2 linked regions of the Mus musculus genome follow. The protein of the gene in region 2 binds, or shares a complex with, the protein of the main gene of each other region. Links are inferred from orthologs where the notes say so. Each region holds a gene or a part of one and is shown on either strand. Other genes may lie near its edges.

Region 1 (10,822 bases), on a different chromosome or scaffold from region 2:
AGAGTGTGTCTTAGTTTCTTCTATTGTGACAAAACACCATGACCAAAGCAACCTATAAAAAGTATTCAATTGGTGTTATGTTTTCAGAAGGTTAGAGTCCATGATGGTGGAGTGAAGGTATGGTATCAGGTGGTTAGAGCAGCAGCTGCCTGCTCACATCTTACAAACAGGAGGTAGAGAGAAAGTACATTGAGAATGATTTTTGAAACCTCAAAGCCTTCTCTCAGGCAGTGACACCACTTCTCCAACAAGGCTGCAACTCCTAACCGTTCCCAAATAGTTCCATCAACTAGGAACCAAGTACTCAGATTCTGAGGTCAGGCTTATTCAAACTGTTACAGGTTAAGTCACTTCACCAAGACTCATGATCTAATCCTTGGGACTTCCATATTGGACGGAGAAAATCAACTCCCATAAGTTGTCTTCTGACCTCTGTGCACACATGTACACACACACACACACGGGGTGGGGGGAAGAGAGAGAGAGAGAGCGCACAGAATTCTGCAGTATGTACATATACATATAAATAGTTAACATAATGCTCCAGGCATTAAAGTTACAAATAAATTGTAGAGTAATTCTCTGAAGCTTTGGACATTTAACCTTTATGTTTCATGGGTGACTTCCTCAGTTTTCAGTTGCTTGTTAAGAGACACCATGAACAAGGTAACTCTTATAAAGAAAATTTGATTGGGGCTTGCTTGCAGTTATTTATTTATGTATTTATTTTTAAAAGATCTATTTTATTTATATGAGTACACTGTAGCTGTCTCCTGACACATCAGAAGAGGGCATCAGATCCCTTTACAGATGGTTGTGAGCCACCATGTGAGTGTTGGGAATTGAACTCAGGACCTCTGAAAGAGCAGTCAGTGCTCTTAATCACTGAGCCATCTCTCCAGACCCATTACTTGCAGTCTCTTACTAAAGAGGTTTAGTCCATTACCATCAGGGTGGCAAGCATGGTGACACAGTCAGGTATGGTGCTGGAAGAGCAGAGTCCTAAATCTGGATCCACAGACAGCAAGAAGAGAGATAATGGGATTGGGTTGGGCTTTTGACATATTTCCTCCAATAAGGCCACTCCAACAAGGTCACACCTCCTACTGTCATTCCTTAAGCATTCAAACATGAGCCTAAGTGGGCCATTCTTTGTTTTTGTTTGTCTTTTTGGTTTTTGAGGTTTTTCGAAGTAGGCTTTCTCTGTGTAGCCCTGGCTGTCCTGGAACTCTCTCTGTAGACCAGGCTGGCCTCGAACTCAGAAATCTGCCTGCCTCTGAAGTGCTGGGATTAAAGGCGTGCACCAGCACTGCCCAACAAGGGAGCCTGCCTTTCTCTCTCTCTCTCTTTCTTTCTTTCCTTTCTTTCTTCCTTTCCTTTTCCTTATTTTATATGCACACACACACACACACTGTAGCTGTCTTCTGACATACTAGAAGAGGGAGTCAGATCTCATTACAGATGGTTGTGAGCCACCATGTGATTGCTGGGATTTGAACTCAGGATCTTTGGAAGAGCAGTCACTGCTCTTACCCTCTGAGCCATCTCACCAGCCCAAGGGGGCCATTCTTATTCAAACCTCTGCAGTGGGCTTTTAATTACCTCCACAATAAGTGCATTTCTGTTGTTCTGAGAAGCTGGGAGCTGGGTGATAAATAGGGACAGTTCTAGAGTCCCGAGGCAATCAGCAAGGTTACTGTGCAAAGGCCATGTGGTTCTAAATGTTTATTTCTATTTATCTCTAACACCCAAATATCCTTATTTGGTCCACTATCATACCATATTAAAACACATAAATGGTTTCTCATTTCTGTCCAAAATCCTCCAGGTAAACTAGATATGGTGGCTCCAAACTAATTCATTGAAATGGCTTCTTGCAGGGATAATCTCTCATGTACTGTGTGAAGTATCATCTGTCAAAAAATACCTGATGACCAATAAACTGAGGCAGGATTAGAAGGTGGGACATCTGGCATGCATACACACACACACACACACACACACACACACACACTAATTTAACTCTGGTAGGAATTTTTGCCACCATCAGGACTTTGGAGGAAGATGAAACTGAGGAGTGGTAAGTAGCCATGTGGTAGATGTTGACTAGTATAAACAGATTAAATAAGTTATGATCTAGTGGGAACAAGCCTAGCTTATTTATGGCCCAGGCATTTATTAAATCAAATATAGCCTCTGAGTTGTTATTTGAGAACTGAGGCACCTAGGGCTTGGGTGGAAAAGCCTGTGGTTACAGTTTCACAATTGTGTTCACATCCTCTAGCTAACTCAGGTAACACAGACTGTTGTTTTAGTGTTTGGGAAACTGAGGCATGGATTCATTCAAGCTTGAGGCCATCTTGGGCTACAGAGTTGCAGGCAACGCTGGCTAAAGAATACCATCTTGTCTTGGCAACAATAAAAATCCTTTAGTGTGCTAGTAAGGATGGAACTGCACTAAGGTCATATTTTTATTCCTTATACTTGCATAAGCTAAACTGCTTTTTAAATAGTATCCATTCAGAAATTTTACTGCGAGTAGCATATACAACTTCATGCTCAGCAACCAGCTGTGGAAATAACAAAAGCCACCCAATAACTGACAGTTTACCAGTCCCCCAGTGCATCCTCCTCTCCCAAAGAAATCAGCAAAACCATGAAGCTTTAGGGACAGTTGTTTTTAGATGTTAATTTGAAGATTTAACTTCGCTGTACAGAAGTGTTTTGTCTTTATGTAGACCCTGTGCATGCCTGACATCAGGAAGACAGAAGGTGTCAGAGCCTCTGGAACTGATGTCTCAGCGGTTGTCAGTTGCTATATAGGTGTTCAGGTTGAACCCAAGTCCTCTCGAGCAGCGAGTTCTCCTGACTGGTGTTCCACCTCCAGTCCTTGGATTTTTTTGAGGTAGAGTCTAATTATGTATCCCAAAATGGCTTAGAACCCCAAGATGCTATGTGTGCACTACCATGTGTTGCTTATTACAACATTATTGAAAATGATTTGTTAGAAGTTTTGGTGGTGAAATTAAACTAAAACTATTGAGTTTAAACATGAACACTGGATTAGTCTTGTCGACTATGAACAGATTTGCCATTTCATCTGTATGAACTTCAACTCTAAAGACATCCAGTGTCTTTTATTTTGTTCAAGAGTCAAAAAAATTTCCATAGACAAAATACATTTCAACATAAATATATATGTATACTTGTAAAAAAAACCCAATGAAGCAGCCCCAGGGGCCTGTATAAAATGCCATCAGTTTTTATACAAGCTGCTTAAGTAGTAAGTCACACTTGACCTCTTTTCAATGCATGCAACTTAAGAAAACTTCCAGCCCGGCGGTGGTGTCGCACTCCTTTAATCCCAGCACTCGGGAGGCAGAGGCAGGCAGATTTCTGAGTTTGAGGCCAGCCTGGTCTACAGAGTGAGTTCCAGGACAGCCAGGGCTACACAGAGAAACCCTGTCTCCATATCCACCACCCCCCACCCCCCAAAAAAAGAGAAAACTGTTCCAATTGCTCATCAGATACCAAATGGGCTTTTTCACAGACATTTCAGACACTTTAAACCAATCAAATCTATATTTTGAATATCAGCTTGAGCTGCAGATTAAGATGAAGCCCTTCACATAACTTGAAGAAGTGATGTAATCTGTCCTCAGGTTGGAACTGTGTTTCTCAGACTTAGGCTCCTTCCACAGAATCATCTTCCATCCCTAGGAGGTAAGCGCCATCAAGATGGCTCATCAGCTAAATCGCGTTGATCAAAATACCTAGTAAGAAAAAGAATTCAGTGTGTGCACACTTATCAAGGACAGCACTGCTTGTAGAAGCAAAAGCACACAATGACTCAACAAAGACTAAACCACAGCACATCTACCCAACAGGGGAACACTCACACACATACAAAGGGTGTGGGGGAATGCGGAGCTCTTCTGTAAAGCTGCCTAGGTTTGGGTCCTGTCTCTGCCATACACTAGCTAGCTCTGTGATGTTCAGGAAGCAGCAAAGGCACTTTGCATTCTTTTGCCAGTTTTCTCATCTCTAAACTGGGTGGTATAGGATTAAATGAGTTCCTATTATGACACACTAAGAAAAATGCTTGGAAGAAAGCACCAGGAAAATTAAACATAGTGATTATAGATCAAGAACTAGGTGTTTACTATGTGTGTATTTTCAAAAATACATCTTGTTTGGTGGAGGGAAGGATAACTTGAGGGTATTTAGTTAATATGAAGCTTTAGAGAGGTGTTAGCAAGACAAAACCAAACCAAACCTCAAAACAAACTGCTGATCAATGAGCAAAGCATGTCCAGGAAGAGACCTAAAATCAATGTGTGCCTTTCCTTAGATACAGGCTGTATTTTCAAATCAATTCAGCAGGAACTTTGATAGAAGGAACGAGATAGAGCTTGGTTGGTAGACTCCCTGCCTGACAGGTACAGGTTCCATCCAGTACAGATTAAAAGACAAAAGGAAATGTAATCAAACATACTAGATAAAAATACACAGCAAATGAAAATTAACACAGCATTAAACATGTTCTGCCTACTACTGATAACAAGGAAAAACATGAAGTTAAATTTCTTAACTCACCTGCTAACTAAGCAGATCAGCAGATTCAAAGCTGGGACTCTTTCGTCATCTTTACTGCCCTGAAAAATAGAAAAAGGCTATTTTTTTTTTCCATAAGTATTTTCTTTCTTTCTTTTTTTTTTTCTTTTGGTTTTTTGAGACAGGGTTTCTCACCTGCCCATCTTTCATTTATAAAATTAAAATATAAATAGATCACTTTCCCTGGTCCCAAATTTCCTCTCTCCAATCTAGCTCTCTCAATATCATGACTCTCTTCTGAGTTTGAGGCCAGCACAAAACAAACAAACAAACAAACAAACAAACAAACACACACACACACACACACACACACTCTCTCTCTCTCGCCCTCTCTCTCTTGAATATATAATCTGTTCAGTGCATATATGATTCCTTGTATGCATATGACTTTAAGGACAACCACTTGGGGGTAGGGAGGTCCCAGATACCAGGGTTTATTAGTTACTTATAAGAGGCCCCTTGTTTTATTCTGGGGCAATGTTTCATGTATCCCAGCCAGGCCTCAAAATTCCTAAGTAGTCACCAGGCTGTCCTTGGTCCTCTGCCTCTGCTTCCTCAGTGCTGACAGGCTTGGGGTCCCACACTTGAACTATGCAGTACTGTGTTTAGAACCTTGAGCTTTGTGCATCCTGGGTGAGCATTGTGATTAACAATGCTACAGCCCCAGCTACAATCTCTTTATTTTTAAATTACGTTTCTATTTAGTATGTGTGTTTGGTGTGTGTGTGTTTGGAGGGATCAAACTCAAATCACCAGCCTAAGATCACTATTTAGAGAATAATGCTGTTCTGAAGGACTTATAATGCTGTTTTCTTTTTTCTTTTTGGTTTTTCGAGACAGGGTTTCTCTGTATAGCCCTGGCTGTCCTGGAACTCACTCTGTAGACCAGGCTGGCCTCAAACTCAGAAATTCACCTGCCTCTGCCTCCCAAGTGCTGGGATTAAAGGGGTGTGCCACCATGCCCGGCTGTATTGCCGTTTTCAAGGGTTGTAGTTTTATGGAAACTGAGGGTTTAAATAGAGTGAGTTTGACACTTCCCCTCTTGAACGTCAGCCAGGAACTGCCCTTAGCTTACTCCTGGTAGATGATCCTCCCTAAAAGGATGATATAAATATAAGGTAGACCAGACGGGGCCTTTGAGCTTGTATTTTGAGCTCTCAAAACTGAACTAAAATCAATTTCTTTGTAAACTGGATAGAGGGTTTTCCTAGCATAGTCAAGGTCCTGACTCAATTCCTCTGTGCTTATAAACAGCAGCTTCAGGTATTCCGCTACAGCAACAAAAATAAACTAAGAGAAGGATGAAGTCATAACAGCAGAACCAATGACTAGGATCTTGTCATGTTAGATCTCGTCTGGACCTTCAGACTTCCTTTACTGGAGAGAAACAAACTTCATTGTCCCCCTGCCCCATACTATTTTCTTGAGATAAGGTTCTTACTATGTAGCCTTGGTTGGCCTCCCAGCGAGGCCTCTGCCCTCCATGTGCTGGGATTGAAGATGCACATCATCATGCTTGGCCTCCCCCCTTTCTAGAGAAGGTCTTTTCTGCTATTGCCCAGTTTGCACTTGAACTGCAATACTCCCCTTTCCATCTCCTAGATGCTGAATTACAGTCATGTGCCACCATATCTAGTTTTGTTATTTAATATACTCTATTTGAGTTTTTTGTTTCTGTAGACTCCTTAATCCCAACTAATAACATTCCACATTTTTTTTTATCTCATATATCTTCTTTTCTACCATAGTAGACAGACTCTGAAATAGTACAGTATAACTCACCACCAGCAGCCTCACTTCAGAACATCTTCTTGCAAGCTGTCGGATTAGTGAATGAGCCTCAGGTAATAAAGGCTTTTCAAGACAAGCCAACAAAGCATAAAACCATCTTCCCTAAGAAAAAATTTAAGAAGTGATTAATAGACAAACAATGAAGAACCCATTTATTGTGTTTTTCTACATGCTCGATGGTGTTACCTGCTTACCCGCTACAAATGAATCAAGGCAGTGTCTAGAGAGGTGAATACTTTTGTTTTCTAACCACAGACCTAGGCCACTACATACTTCAAAATAGTTCCTGATTCCCAATGAACTTATGTCTATATTTGTACTACAATTGAGGTCCTCGCTTCCCTTATTTGGTATATAACATTTTGCCTGCAGGCTAGAAGGCATCGGACCCCATTACAGATGGTTGTGAGCCATCATGTGGTTGCTGGGAATTGAACTCAGGACCTCTGGAAGAACAGCTAGTGCTTTTACTCTCTGAGCCATCTCTCTAGTCCCCCTCCCACACCTTTTTGAGACAGGGTCTTACTGCATAGCCCTGGCTGGCCTGGAACTCACAGAAATCTATTGCTCTGCCTCGTGAATGCCTTGTCCTGAGATTCTCTATTATAAGCAAAAATGTTCTGAGTTTTTTTGAGACAGAGTCTCATGTATCTCTGGCTAGTCTTCAGCTCAGAGATGTTTGTCTCTGCCTCTAGGGTGCTACGATTAAAGATTTATAAAGCTAAAGGTATATAAGCAAAACTCTAAATTGCTAGGTTTGGTGGACGTGTAGTGCTAGAGTCTTGGGAGGTTGAGACAGGAGGTCTACAAGTTCAAGGCCAGCCTGACCAATTTACTGAGACTGTGTCTGGAAATGCAGTAGTAACTGAGGGCTGAGGGTCACTGTAAAGCACCTGCTTGTCCCTTCCTTCATGACGCTCTGTGTAGCCAGGAACAATGGAGCCAGGCAGCATGGGAATGAGGACCCTGGACCTGAGCCGAAGTGAATACCCCTTCCTTAAAAAAAAAAAAAAAAAAAAAAAAGCCCACAACCTGGGGGCTGGAGAGACGGCTCAGTCGTTAAGAGCACTGGTTGCTCTTTTGAGGACCAGAGATCAGTTCCTAGCACCCACATGGCAGCTTGCACCTAGCTATATCTCCAGTTCCAGAGGGATTCAACACCTTCACAGACATATATGCAGGCACATTAAAAATAAATAAATAAACATTGAAAAAAACCCCACAATATTCTGGGGCTATCTGTAGGAATACTCTTGAATGCTATTTCAATTACAAAATATAAAAGTAGTAATAGTTTATACATAAAAATGTTAAGAATATTAAGAAAATAGAAAGAAACATTTCTTTTTTTTTTTTTTTAAAGATTTATTTATTTATTATATGTAAGTACATTGTAGCTGTCTTCAGACACTCCAGAAGAGGGAATCAGATCTCGTTACAGATGGTTGTGAGCCACCATGTGGTTGCTGGGATTTGAACTCTGGACCTTCGGAAGAGCAATCGGGTGCTCTTACCCACTGAGCCATCTCACCAGCCCGAAAGAAACATTTCTTGTCTTTGTCATCTAGCTAAAATTTCTGATTTTTGAAATGTTTGCTATTCAGGATGTTACAATATATAAGATGATTAAAACTATGTGAAAGACGGGTCTGACCCTAGGGCAAAATCAGTAGCATTGATTTTAATGTGTATCATCTCATGAAAAAATATTAAAACTTGTTTTTACTAAGATAGGGCCTTCTTCGTAGTCCTAGCTGGCCTCACTCAGGCTTGCTCTGTAGCCCAGGCTGGCCTTGAACTCACGTGATTTGCCCGCCCTTGCCTACCCAGTTCTAGGATTGCAGGTTCATGTGCTACACCTGCCTGAGGATGTGAAAGGGTGGCTCTCAGAGAAGACCACACCCAGGTTCCTGGTGTGCCTTAATTTTCTTTAGAAAGTTTTTCCTTTAATGTCCGTGCTTAAATTTTGTATTAAATTATCTTTAATAAACTCCAACTCCATTTTTAAAAAGTGGATGAGAAAACCCCAAGTAAAGTTATACAGTCTGCCTCTGACAGACTGTGTGACTATAAACAATCTACTAACTCAGCTATATTTTATTACCTGTAAAAGGGGGCTTAGTTAGTGAAGAATTGTATAAAATGGTTGTAGAATAATGCATTCAATGCATTATTATCTACTAATAATTATTATCTATCTAATAGTATTATCTACTATTGTTTGCTCCTTGTTTCTTTCTTTTTTTTTTTTGGCTTTCCAAGACAGGGTTTCTCTGTGTAGCCCTGACTGTCATGGAACTCACTCTGTAGACCAGGCTGGCCTTGAACTCAGAAATCTACCTGTGCTGGGATTAAAGGCATATGCCACCACTGCCCGGCTTGTTTCTACTTTTGAGACAAGATCTTCTGCAGCCTAGGATGAGCTGCAATTCACTATGAAGCTAAGGCTGCCCTCACACTCCTGTGTCCGCTTCTCAAGAACTGCAATTTACAGGTGGATGTCATGACATTCCCAGTCTCTATGGCTTTCTCAAGGAGGAGAATATATTGACTTATCTTCTGGTATAAGGTCCTTACTTATTGTAGTGGCTATTCCTGGTTGTCAACTTGACTATATCTAGAATGAACTACAATCCAGAATTGGAAGGCTCACCATAGATCCTAATCTGGAGGCTGGGAGGTAGAAGTTTCTGAGTTCAAGGTCATCTGGGATTAAAGGTGTGGTGGCACACACTTTTAATCTGGGCTACACCTTCTGCTGGAGAACTACATAAGGACATTGGAAGAAGGAAGGCTTTCTCCCTTCTTTGACAGTTTGCCATGTGGGACTGAGCAACTGCTAGATCCTTGAATTTCCATTCACAGCTGCTGCTGACCATTGTTGGGAGTTGGACTGTAGACTGTAAGTCATCAACAAATTCCTTTACTATATAGAGACGACCTATAAGTTCTGTGACTTTAGAGAACCCTGACTAATACATTTATATACAAGATTTGAATTTTATATGCAGAACACATGAATACTTATATGTGTGCGTGCGCATGCACCCACCCCCCCACCCACAAGTATAAAAACTGCAGTCACGGGGCCTGGAGAGATGGCTCAGTGGTTAAGAGCACTGACTACACTTCCAGAGGTCTTGAGTTCAAATCCCAGCAACCACATGGTGGCTCACAACCATCTGTAATGAGTTCTGAAGCCCTCTTCTGGTGTGTCAGAAGACAGCTACAGTGTACTTAGATATAATAGGAAATAAATCTTAAAAAAAAACCCCTGCAAAAACAAAAACAAAAAAACCTGCAGTCACACCTCACATAAGTAAATGTAATTTTGCCTATATAATGAAAAGAAAAAGATGCAATCTTACCAATTCTGGAGTAAAGTCTCTTTCTCCAAACCAATTACTTAGATATTCCAAGACACTAGTAATGGTTGTCTTTAAAAAGAGACAAGGATGGGGGTGGGGGTGGGGTGGAAGAAGGAAAGGAGGGAGGGAGAGGCGGGGCAGGAAACAGTGACATTAGCGGTAAAATACTGAGAAGTTCAACATGAGTTCAAGTAACTGCGGTTAAAAAGCAGCTCTGAGGGTTAAAATGTCTTTGTTCTTGACACCATGAGTAAGGAGTAATTTCATTAGATGGCTTACACATAGCAACTGGCTTTTTGTTTTGTTTCTTGAGACAGTGTCTCACTTTGTATCCCTGGTCTGCCCGAATTCACAATATGGAGCAGACTGGCCTTGAACTTGTGGCCATCCTCCTGCCTTTGCCTCTGGAGTGCTACTATTACAGGCATGAGTCTGCATACATGGCTATAAAATCCTTTAAGAGAAATATTTTTATACTCTGAAGTATAAAACTTAGGCTTTAAATCTTAGGCTTAAAAAGTAGTTTGTAACTACTGAAAAATTTCAAACACTCCTACAAAAGACCCTTCAGTCTACTTACCAATTCAGATTAACCAGAAAACCAAATCTCAGGAGAAACAAACTTGGCTAGAGAAGGATGTTTGAAAATTATAGAAATGAAATTATCAATGCTTCAGAATATTTCCTTCCTTAAATGTTAATAGAAAACTCAATAAGAGACCTTAACTATAAGTACGTCTTTCCTTTCTGAGACAGAGACCTCGATATGCTGGAGCTTGATATGTAGACCAGGCTGGCCTCAAACGCAGAGACACACCTGCCGCTGCCTCTGAGTGCTGGGATTAAAGACATGCACTAACCGGCTTCACTGCTGAACATTAAAAAGTCTCTATTCCTCAAAGACTGAAGAATGAAATCCCATTTGTTTCCCGCTTTGGTCCAGTAAGTTATCAGTTTTCAGAGACTGCAGGCCGAGGCAGGCCCTTTACAACTGGAATTGTGTCTTGGCCTTACTTAGTGAGCTTTGGATGCAGACTTAGCGCTTATAA
Region 2 (10,283 bases):
GCTCCATACCCTAATAACCCATCCTCTTGGTGACCGTGCCTTATCCTTCCCTTTCTCTTACAGCTAAAGCAGCAGCATACGCTTCTTTACAAGGTCAATGGAATCCTCACGGTGACCACCTTTCTGTTCTGCCGGATCCTTCTGTTCCCATTCATGTACTGGTCCTATGGCCAACAAAAAGGACTAAGCCTGCTCCAAGTGCCATTTAATATCCCTTTACACTGCAACATGGCCAATGCCGTCCTCATCTCTCCCCAGCTCTACTGGTTCTCACTGCTGTGCAAGAAGGCGGCCCGGCTCTTTGACACTGCCAAAGCCAAAAAGGATGGTTAATTACTCTCAGGGGTCAGGCACTCACACTAGCTGCCTCAGTATTCCAAGGACCAAATCATGCCTGGGGTAGTCTCTGCCTTCTGGATGTTGATAAACCTCTGGATTTTTGGTCTTCTTTTTTAAAAATCCCCATTACCTCCTCCTTCTAACCAGCCTTTTGCAAAAGCACTTTTTGTTTTGTTTTCTGGTGATAACTTGGATCCTGTCAAAGCCCCACTGCAGTAGTTTTACCAGCAAGCCTGAGGAGCCTTCCTTGGGCCTGGGAAAGAGTTTTGGGAGGTGAAGCACTGTTCTCCCCTTCCCACCCACTCAGGGCAACACCCGGCAACACCCATACTGGGTCAGAAGCAAGTGACAACTTGGTTCTTGAAACTGTGTCATTTTCCAATACTAGGAAAGACATCGTGGGTATGTCTTTTACCGTTTACTAGACAGCCCTTGTCCTTATCTGTATATCAACAATGAATTCTCATGCCTGCTGACTTCTAGTCAGAAGGGCTCACTGACAATGGGCAGGAGGCAGGGCTGAGAACCTGAAGCACTTGAGTAGGTCAGGAGGCCAGCAGAGGCCAGCATCTTTGCAGGCTTTGTATAAAGACCAGTATCAAACTTGTGAGCTTCTTGAAAGCAGTTACCTACACCATTTCTCCTTTTTAGCATGGCCTCTCATGACCAGTTTTCTGTGTCCACACACACCAAAAACTGGCCTGAAACTCCAGGGACAAGGTGGAGTGATGGCTTCTATAGCAGCTTACTGGGTAATCCCACACTGACACTGCCCTTTCATACAAAATGGACACAGACGTCTGCTCTCCAGGTGTCCTGTAGGCCAGTGCTTCCTGCTAAGACAGACCCATTTCTGTGTTGAATGTTCTAGCCACAGAAAGCTTGAAAACAGGAGAGAGAAGCCAGACGAGCCAGAGCATGTCCTGTGGACCAGTGCTGTTTGTTAGCTGTGTGCTGTAGCATGTGGTGTAGCACAGATCATCTCTCACCACAGGCTGGGGTTGAGAGGACCTGCTGCCACTACTTCAGGTGGCAGCAAAAACACTACAGTGCCTTATAATTCACTGTCCATGGACTTCTAAAGGACTGGATGGTTGCATCTCAATTTTTGAGTTTCAGTCTTTAATAGGTGCCATTTAAAAAACATAAAAAATGCTGTTTTGTGTTTTTTTGTTCTGTTTACTGTATCCACAAGTCATCCATATAGTAATTAAATTGCACTAAATTCTCTATTTGTTATGTGCCCTGGCGCCGAATTCCCCAAACATCCGAGACCCAGCCTGACTACCGTTTTCGGTAATTCCTAGTCTGGTCACGGAAGGCAAATGGCCTCTAGGCAGGTCTTACTCATAGTCCAACATGTTGGTTCAAAGTACCAAAGGATACACGGAAGGTGCCCAGAGTTCACGCTCAGTGCTCACATTTAACTTCAGGTTTTCCTTCCTCTGGTGGATCCCAACTAGAAGTTGGGAGGGTGGAAGCCTGCCTGCCTGCCTGCCTGCCTGCCTGCCTGCTGACCACAGTTTCCATTAGGTGGGAGAAGAGTACCAGAGGAGTAAACCATTTTAGATGAGGGTGTGGGTAAGTAGGTGATGGGACCTTTCCTCTCACCTCCCTAAATGATACCTCCCCTAACCAGTTCTAAGAGTTGTGTAACATTGCCCTGGAAACCTTATGCTTTCATTTTTATGCTTCTGTATTGTTGCCTATGCCACTCAGTCATCAAAACCAAAACAATCTCACCCCAGGAAGAAGGTAATTATAGCCACCCTCCAAGGGCACCAGCTATTCAGCAGCCCTGGCTTAGCACCTCTCCCGGATGTGCTGAGGCGATGGTTACTACCCCCTTAACAGTGTTCCTTGGTGCAGGCCTCTTTGGCACAAGTCAACCAGCGCTGAGTGAGCCCCTTTCCACATCTGCCCTTTATGAGATAACCTTGGTAAGAAGATGGAATACAAAAATGCTTGCTAGTAGCCCAGGCTGGCCTTGAACTGAGCCTTCTACTTCAGCTACCCGAATGCTGGGCTTATAAGGATGTACTTCTACCAAGCCTAGTTGAAAAGACTCCACGAGGATGTCACTAAAAAGAACATATAACGTTTCTCCTCCCCCTTACCCCCCACTCGGTAGCTCCAACTTTGGGCTTACTGCCAAAACTAGGTGGAGAATTTCAGTTACAAACATGTTCCTCTCCAGCTGGCCTTTTTTTAACTTTTGGATATTCCTATGCAGTCCAAGTTGCCACCCTCTGCCTGAGCCTCCTGAAGGCTGATGCTACAGGTGTACACTCCCATACCTGTCCTACTGGCTTGACTTGATCTTAAAGACTACCTAAACCTAATTTGGAGCATATTTAAGCCCAAACTTCTGAGAAAGGCTCAAGATAAGATTAAACCCAAGAGAATTTTATTTAAGTAGTATGTGACAAATATCTAAGAAAACTATTTCTTTACACTGCTCTTGTACTCCTTTCACTGTGTACGTTCTTATAACTTTGTTTGTTCTTAGCTCTGGGCCCTGCAGAAACACCACGGTGGACGGAGGCATAGTTTTGTTCTGCCCTCAACAGGTCAGAAGTTGTTGATCTTTTGTAGCAGGGTTTGGCGCCGCTCCTCAGGGCTAATGTTCTTGGCGATAGACTTTAAGAAGCGCTGCTCGTCTACCTTCTGGAGCAAGGAGCTGACAGAAGGGTTGCTTTTGCTTAGAGTCTCGTAGCAGGTAAGGATTTCCAAGGCCAGCACGTAGAGGGGTTCACAGACCTCCTGAGGGAGCATGGCCATGATATGCAGAACATGACAGAACATCTGGGTATAGACAAACAGGGTTTCCTGAGTAAGATCCCCTTCTTGTCCTTGGGCCCAGGGACCCACCGACTGCATCAACCTGACTGCATCCAGGACACTGGTCAGACTGTTACAGAGGAGTTTGACCACATGGCTCCAACCGTCCAAAGGAAGCCAGTTACAACAGCTCTGGCTGCAGAGAAACTGGAACACTCTCAAAGAAAGAACAGAGAGCTGAAGTTCCTGGGCAAAAGGCTTCAGGTTGAGCAGGGGAACAAACTGAATATACTCTAGACTGTAAGGGACATGAAGAAGCTGTTTCTCCAATAGCTTCCTGGTCAGCTGCTGAAGGTACTGCCATTCCTGGGGGCTACACCAAGGCATGACTTGTACCAGGGCCACCAGAAAGCCCTTGCTAAACAGTCTGACCTCCTCAGGATTGCCCACATCCATCACCAGAAGGGAAAGCATCTGGTCAGAGATACTGCTGGAGACTGAACAGCACTCCATCCAGGCGAGAAGGCCCGTGCCAGGCCCATACCCTTCGTGGACCTGTGAGGTCCACTGGGCCTCAGAGAGCTTACAGATATCAAAAAGGGTAGCTGGCACCTCACACTTGAAGTGGCCTTCAAAGAAGTTCTTTAGTCTCAGGCCCACAGTCCAATCTAGCTGGTCTAATTTGCGGTGGAGCCAGGACAGGGACTTGGCCCAGGTGTCTGGGGAGAAGGTTTCTGTGTTGGCTAGCACGATCTCACAGAGGAGTTCCAGAATGTGGGTCACAAGATCCTTGCTGTCCAGCGTGAGGTAGCGCTTCTCCCGGGGGAGCTGCCAGAACTTGCTGAAGCTGTCCAGGAGCTGGCACAGGCTGAAGAGCAGAGGGAATGGGGAGCAGGTCTGCAGCCAATACTCTTCCAGGCCTGCATTGGCTTCGAGGGTCTGGATGAAGAGCTTCAGACTCAGGCCCACCTCCTCCATGTCCAACATCAAGAAAGGCAGGACAAACTCCTTGAGCACCTCATCTGGCTCCAGAAGAGCAGCCACTGGAATCCCCTGTGGCTTCACAGGATTCGTCAGGCAGCTTACCAGCTCCAGAAACTGCTTCTCTTCTTTGGGTGTGGAGAACTTGGTCCAGACAGTTTCTTTGAGGCAAGACACCATGAAACTGGTACATGGATTTGCCCCTTGTTCTTCCGTGAACTTCAGAGCAGGGAAGGCAGTGAGAATCTGAGCCAAGAACCTATGTGTGCCAAGATTGGTCACAGCTAGGCTACACATCTTCTTCACCACAACTTCTGGGTTCAGGATCACCAGGTGGGCCACGGAGGCCACAGCTTTAGCCAGGCCCTGTTCAGAGGTACTCTGTGCGAGCTGGTTAAACGTCGTGTTGAGGTCTTCCTGAAAACCCTCCAAGTAATCAGACAACCTGTCTGAGAGACCCTTTGGCCCCAAATAATGCAGGACACCAGAAAGAACTTTATTTTTGTCTGGAAGAGAGAGGTCTTCATAGCATTCCAGGGTCAAGCAGATTACCTGCTTGATCTGAGGCTGGGGGATAACCCGATCAGAGCTGATGACTTCCATCACTGTTTCTAGCAGACTCAAGACCAAGTCTGGTTCTCTGAAGAGAGACCTGTTGTTAACCAGGCAGGCAACCCACTCGTCTGAAAAGGCCCACTTCTTCTCAGAAGCAAAAATGTAGCACATTTCCATGTGCCGGTCCATCTTCTGCTCAATGATGGCCATGGCAATGGAGGCAGTGATGTCCTCAAGGCCCTTGTCATTCAGCATTCTGCTGGTTTTCCTCAGGAAGTCCCTGACACACTCAGCCAATTCTGAGACCACCTCCCTCTCCTCCTTGGGCATGTTGGTAGTATCCAGGTAGAGCTCCAAGTTCTGGCTGAAGGAAGTCAGGCTGTCACACAGCCGGTAAGTGTCATAATTTGTTCCCTGACTGCTGTTGAGCATGTCCTGCAGTTCTGCACCCCACTCTTGCAGCAGGTTGTACATAAGCTCAAACCCCATGAAAACAGTCTCGCTGGGGAGTTTGGCCAGTGAGGTGAGACTCACATCTCGCTCTGCCTCCTTTACCTTGTCTGCCAGGGCCTGTCGATGGTATGGGTTCTGGGTGTCCGAGTTCCACACAGAGATCACTGTAGCTAGTTTGTCTAGGTACACGGTGGCCGACACCTCCTGGGTGTCATCCTCCAGAAGTGCAAACACACTCAGCATGTCAGCCAAGTTAGCTAAGGCACAGCACTTCATTCCAAGGGACAGGATTCTCTTTTGGATCTGCTTCAGCCCGTTAAGCAACATGGCCAAAAGAGGCATGGTGGGACCCACATCTGGGTCAGACTTAAACCTCTTTGGAGGATGGGAAAACTCATCTGAGGATGGCAAGTATTTATGGGCCATCGTCCTGAACTGGGAAAGCAAGGGGTCCTGCTGGTCGCCCTTGTGCTTCATCATTTCCCACCAGACATCTAAGAAGAAGGCCACATCCTTGGAAGATGTGTCAACAGTCATGTGCTCCAGGAAGCTCTGTAGTTCTGAGCGGCCAATGGTGGTAGGCAAGGCCATTAGCAGCTGAATGAAGAGTCCAGAAGCTTCCAGAGACTTGAGCAGCTCAAAAAGGACTGTGTGGTTGATGGTAGGGATCATGTTGCCCACGGAGAAGAATACATCTTCCTGCCACCGAGTATCAGTGTCAGAAGGGCTGACAGGGGAGGGCTGAAGAACCTTGGTCCAGATGATGATCAGTGCTTTCTTCTTCCAGGCAAAGGGCTGGGAATGTGCTGTGGCTGAGGAGATCTCCTTCAAGGCCTCCACAATGGGCTGTCCCACGTGTTCCCAATCAGACTTGGTCAACTGTACCAGGGCTTTGGGGTGGAACAGCTGCTCAGCCATCAAGAAGCCCCCATGCAGAATAGTCATCTCCTCACAGATATTCAAGGGTCCTGCACAGAGAAGCCAAGAGGTAATGAAGTCATCAGATTAGCGAGAAGCTAGGAGAAGGAAACAGCCATCGGATGGCTATCATTTCGGCTACGGTCTTGACATCAATGGGAGGGGAAGGCATGGTTAGTAAGAGCTCACAAAGGGCTGGGGTCAAAAGGTCTTGGCCGAGGAACAAAAAACCAGTTTCTAAGATCTTTGGCCTGGATATCAGGACAATGGCACCTCTGGAAATAGGAGGCAGAGAGGGATTCAGAACAGGCTTTCAAGTGTTTACAAAATTCTATTTTAATAATGTGTTTGTATCTGTGGGGGTTTGTGCATATGAATGCAGCTTCCACAGAGGCCAGAAGAGGATGCTGGGTCCTCTGGAGCTGGACTGAGCCTACTGGTGTGGTTGCTGAGAACTAAACTCTGGACTTCTACAAGAAACATATGTGCTCTTAACTACAGAGTCATCGCTCGTGGCCCCTCAGGACAAGCTTTAAGGGAAGACAAGTTCAGTGCTGTTACCTAGAGTCTGAGGTAGAACATTTAGTGATGTCCTTCAGCAATGGCAATGCGTGAAGGAGAAAAGGCCTGATGTGAGTGTAGGCAGTACCAACTCGGAGAAGTGCATGAAAATCAAGGAAGTGACTAAGATTCCTCAGCAAAGTGTGAAGAGGACAACTGGACTGCTGAGGTTACAGTGAGTAGAGGATAGGGGACAGTGCTACCACATATGCATTAAAGACATGACAGAGGCCAGCAGCATGGCTCATGATTAAAGATATCTGCCACCAAGCTTGATGACCTGAGTTTGAGCCCTAGAACTGATATGGTAACCTCTACAAGCTGTCTTCTGACTGACACTTGTGCACCGTGGTATCCACACATACACACCAAGAATGTAATTAAAAAACAAACAAACAAAAAACCTAAACAAAACTGAGTCCAGTGATGGCAGACTATGGAAGATACAATAGGTAGTCTTTGGGGGATGGGAGGTGCTTATTGTCTTAGTGTTTTTGGTTGTTTCTGAGACAGGGTCTCATTATGAACTGGATAGCTTTGAACTCAGATCTGTCTGCCTCTACATCCTGAGTGCTGAGATCAAAAGCCTGTGCCACCACACTCAGTTAAGCCTGTTTTTGAACTCAGAGCCTTGCATGTAACAGGCAAGCACTCTACCACTGAGCTGTATCCGGAGCCCTGCCTTCCTTCTTTCTAAGCACACTCCTGCTTCAACAAGTTTCAACATTCTGTGCCTTACAGGGAAAAAGTTCACCCAGCAGTTTCTTCCAGTCAAAAAGGACAAGCTGGTGAAGGTTCTGGCTCTGTGGTAGGAACCAGGAAGTGGACAAAACAAATATTACATCAAGACAGCGGTCACTCATTCACTGAGTTAAGAACTGACATTTAAAGGGAGGCCATGTGGGGGTTTAATCAAGATAATGGATTCAAATCCTAACTCAGTTGTTAAAACATGATGTGACTTTACACTTTACTGAGTCTCCCGTCTGCATACATGAGAATATATGTATGCATATATACATGAGACTATAATCTTCATGGTATGGGAACCACATGACACAGGACATACACTAATCACACTTTTGTAACTATTCTGGTATTGTTACCTTTTTGAAGCATCTCCCAGGTATGGAAGAATTGGATGGGTTATATAAGCTATCTTAACCATAATCAGACCATCAAGAGCCTGATTTAAATGCTCAAGTGTTGGCAGGACTAGTCTTGTCAATATTTTGTCTCCTCCAGTGCAGAAACAGACGGGCACAGGTCTTTCCCAAAGTGTATAATCTGGCCTAGAAGCTGAGTGCAACACCTTGTCACGGTCACTGCTAGCTCTCTCCTCAGTCCTCTATGCTCCCAGAAACACATCTGCCCTATTCTCATAGGCCAGAGTCGGCAGCAAAAGTACTGACTCCAGTGAACAGCTGTGGTGGCCTATCCCGTTAGTCCCAGCTCTCTAGTGATGCAGATTTTTATGAGGCAAGCCTGGTCCACGTACTGAGTTTCAGGCTAGCCAAGGCTACATCATGGCTACCATCTCAAACTTCTCCTACCCCCAGGGAAAAAAAAAAATTACTGACACCAGGCAACTAAAAAATCTCCTGGCCACTAACCATTTACTGTCACTGCCTGCCCACCCCAAATCAAGGCTCAGCACTCCCACAAAACCCAGACCTGAAGGCAATCCAGGGTTCTTTCTGTCTCAGGTTGGTCTGCCGGCCCCCGAACACATTTCCTTATAACTGTAAATGACATTTTATTGCATTAGACATCGGCTTAGCAGAGCAAATGTCTGCGGCCAAACATGTGCCTTTCAGAGACTGTGTACATGTGGCTTGAGAAAAGTCCCAGACTCAGCTCATAGCCAGGGGAAACTCAAAGGCTTTTTTTTTTTTTTTTTTTTTTAAATCAGTAGCTGGTGCTAGGAAGTGACTGGTTACTTTGGTAGGCACTGTGCTGGGTGGCATACTTGTATTTTTTTCTGAGATAGGCTCTTGTTATATAGCTGGAACTGGCTTGAAACTATACAGACCAGGTCGGCCTAGAATTTTGAGATCCTCCTGCCTCTGCTTCCAGAGTGCTAGTTAGACATAAGCTACCACACCCAGCTTGACACCTATAAAAATCATGTAATCGTCAAACTAACTTCTTGAGGATTATAACTCCTGTTTTGGAGATGGGAAGCTAGAGGCCCAGGCACAACTTTGCAAGGTGTCTCAACTAGGGAGTCAAGCCTTGGCAGCACTCTTCACAGCTGCAGGGCACGAAACTACCATTCCACACTAAAGAGCTGGCTAGGGACAAAGACATTTCTCCACAGCGTATTATTTGCAAATCTTGGAGTACTTCCCAGGACGGCCTCCTAGTCTTACCCTCTAAAGAGCACACCTAGCAGGGTGGAGAGGGTTGGCAGATGGCCACAGATTTCTATCAACTCCGCCTTACTTCCAGACCTCGCCTAGGAGGATACTCCAAACCAAGCAGCACTCGAATTCGGATTCAAAAAGTGAAATCTCAGGCTGCGCAACTCCTGCTCACAAGAGAGGGGTGGGGGTGGGGTGGTCGCTTTGCGTGAGTCAACGAATGGGGTCCTGTTATGCACGTGGTCGCAAAGAAAACGCCAAGCCTCTGGGAGAAAGACAGTATCAGTATTTTTGCTTTATGCACTAGGCGACCTAATAAGAAACATGTTCACTAACTCGGCAGTCATTTAATAACGAAGAACTCTCCGGACGTCCGTCCCTCCCAGCCCGGCATTTCCGAAACACGTGCAGTAGCCCTGAGCATTTCCAGGAGAATCAAGGCTATATTCGCTCCCGGTTTCCCACTGGGAAGACACTACGAAGGACGGAGGAGGACTCTAGGAGACCGTCATGTGGTGGGGCTACAGGATGGAGGCCGGCCTCGCGACTGCGGGTCCCCCAAAACTCCTCAAGCCCCCAGCCTCCCGAGCACCGTAGGAGCAGTGCAGAGCCTCAGCCTGCCCAGGAGGTGCTTTGGGGGGGTGCGGCCCAGGGGCCGGAGTAGGGAAGTGGGAACCCACCTAGGTCCATGGCGGCGACGCTGGCGGCGGGCTAGACCGCCCCTCCTAGTCCAAGGCCGCGAACGCGTTGCCCGCGCCACGGCACAAAGGGCGGCGCTACAGGCGCGTCACAGGCTCCGCCCACAGCGCTTCTCCGCTTCCGTGCTGTAGTCTGCTAGCCGCTGCCGTTCAAGGCGCACGCGTACTCCTCTCCAACAAGCTCGCAGCGTCGAAGCCACCCTAGCCACAGCGCCCCCTCTCGGCCTAGGCTTCCCAGCCTTCTTAACCACAGGTACTGTTGGCTGTCTCCATGTGGAACCTGACCCCTTCAGGCAAGGAGGTCGAACCCCTTAGTCCAGACCCCTCATTCACCCTCACTCAGGAACCCCGGGCAGCTCTCGCCCCGGATTCACCCACATGGAATAACTTTCCTTCAGCTGTGTACTAACCAGCAGCGGATCCACGGGATTCATCCCCCCCCCCCCCAAGACACACAAAACTCCCTATATGCTTGCTTTTCATGCTGCACTATCTCCTATAGGCAACAGCAGAGTCAACTTTCAGAGCTCATAGGTGCTTTTATAACTTTGAAGGGCAGTCACACTGGAAAAAGCTCTGCGGGGCAGGAGCAATTGAATGGATTCCTGGTCCTCGATTTGTACGTTATTAAACA

Evidence for each region. Proteins that work in one complex are often made in the same cells at the same time.
Region 1: Gemin4 (region 2) and Gemin2 share a complex: the UniProt entries of both Homo sapiens proteins name them as parts of the SMN-Sm complex. The link is inferred for Mus musculus from reciprocal best matches to the Homo sapiens genes GEMIN4 and GEMIN2.

The regions. Positions count from the first base shown.
Region 1 is NC_000078.6:59,020,688-59,031,509, reverse strand, and holds the end of Gemin2 (gem-associated protein 2), read right to left. Parts: intron 9,843-10,822; coding exon 9,774-9,842; intron 6,508-9,773; coding exon 6,397-6,507; intron 4,656-6,396; coding exon 4,597-4,655; intron 3,774-4,596; coding exon 3,734-3,773; 3' UTR 3,040-3,733; downstream 1-3,039. UniProt on the Homo sapiens protein: The SMN complex catalyzes the assembly of small nuclear ribonucleoproteins (snRNPs), the building blocks of the spliceosome, and thereby plays an important role in the splicing of cellular pre-mRNAs.
Region 2 is NC_000077.6:76,207,847-76,218,129, forward strand, and holds Gemin4 (gem-associated protein 4), read right to left. Parts: upstream 9,727-10,283; 5' UTR 9,642-9,726; coding exon 9,632-9,641; intron 6,865-9,631; exon of another isoform or gene 6,410-6,864; intron 6,098-6,409; exon of another isoform or gene 6,078-6,097; coding exon 2,911-6,077; 3' UTR 2,725-2,910; downstream 1-2,724. Other genes in the region: Tlcd3a (TLC domain-containing protein 3A), read left to right, coding at 64-333. UniProt on the Homo sapiens protein: The SMN complex catalyzes the assembly of small nuclear ribonucleoproteins (snRNPs), the building blocks of the spliceosome, and thereby plays an important role in the splicing of cellular pre-mRNAs.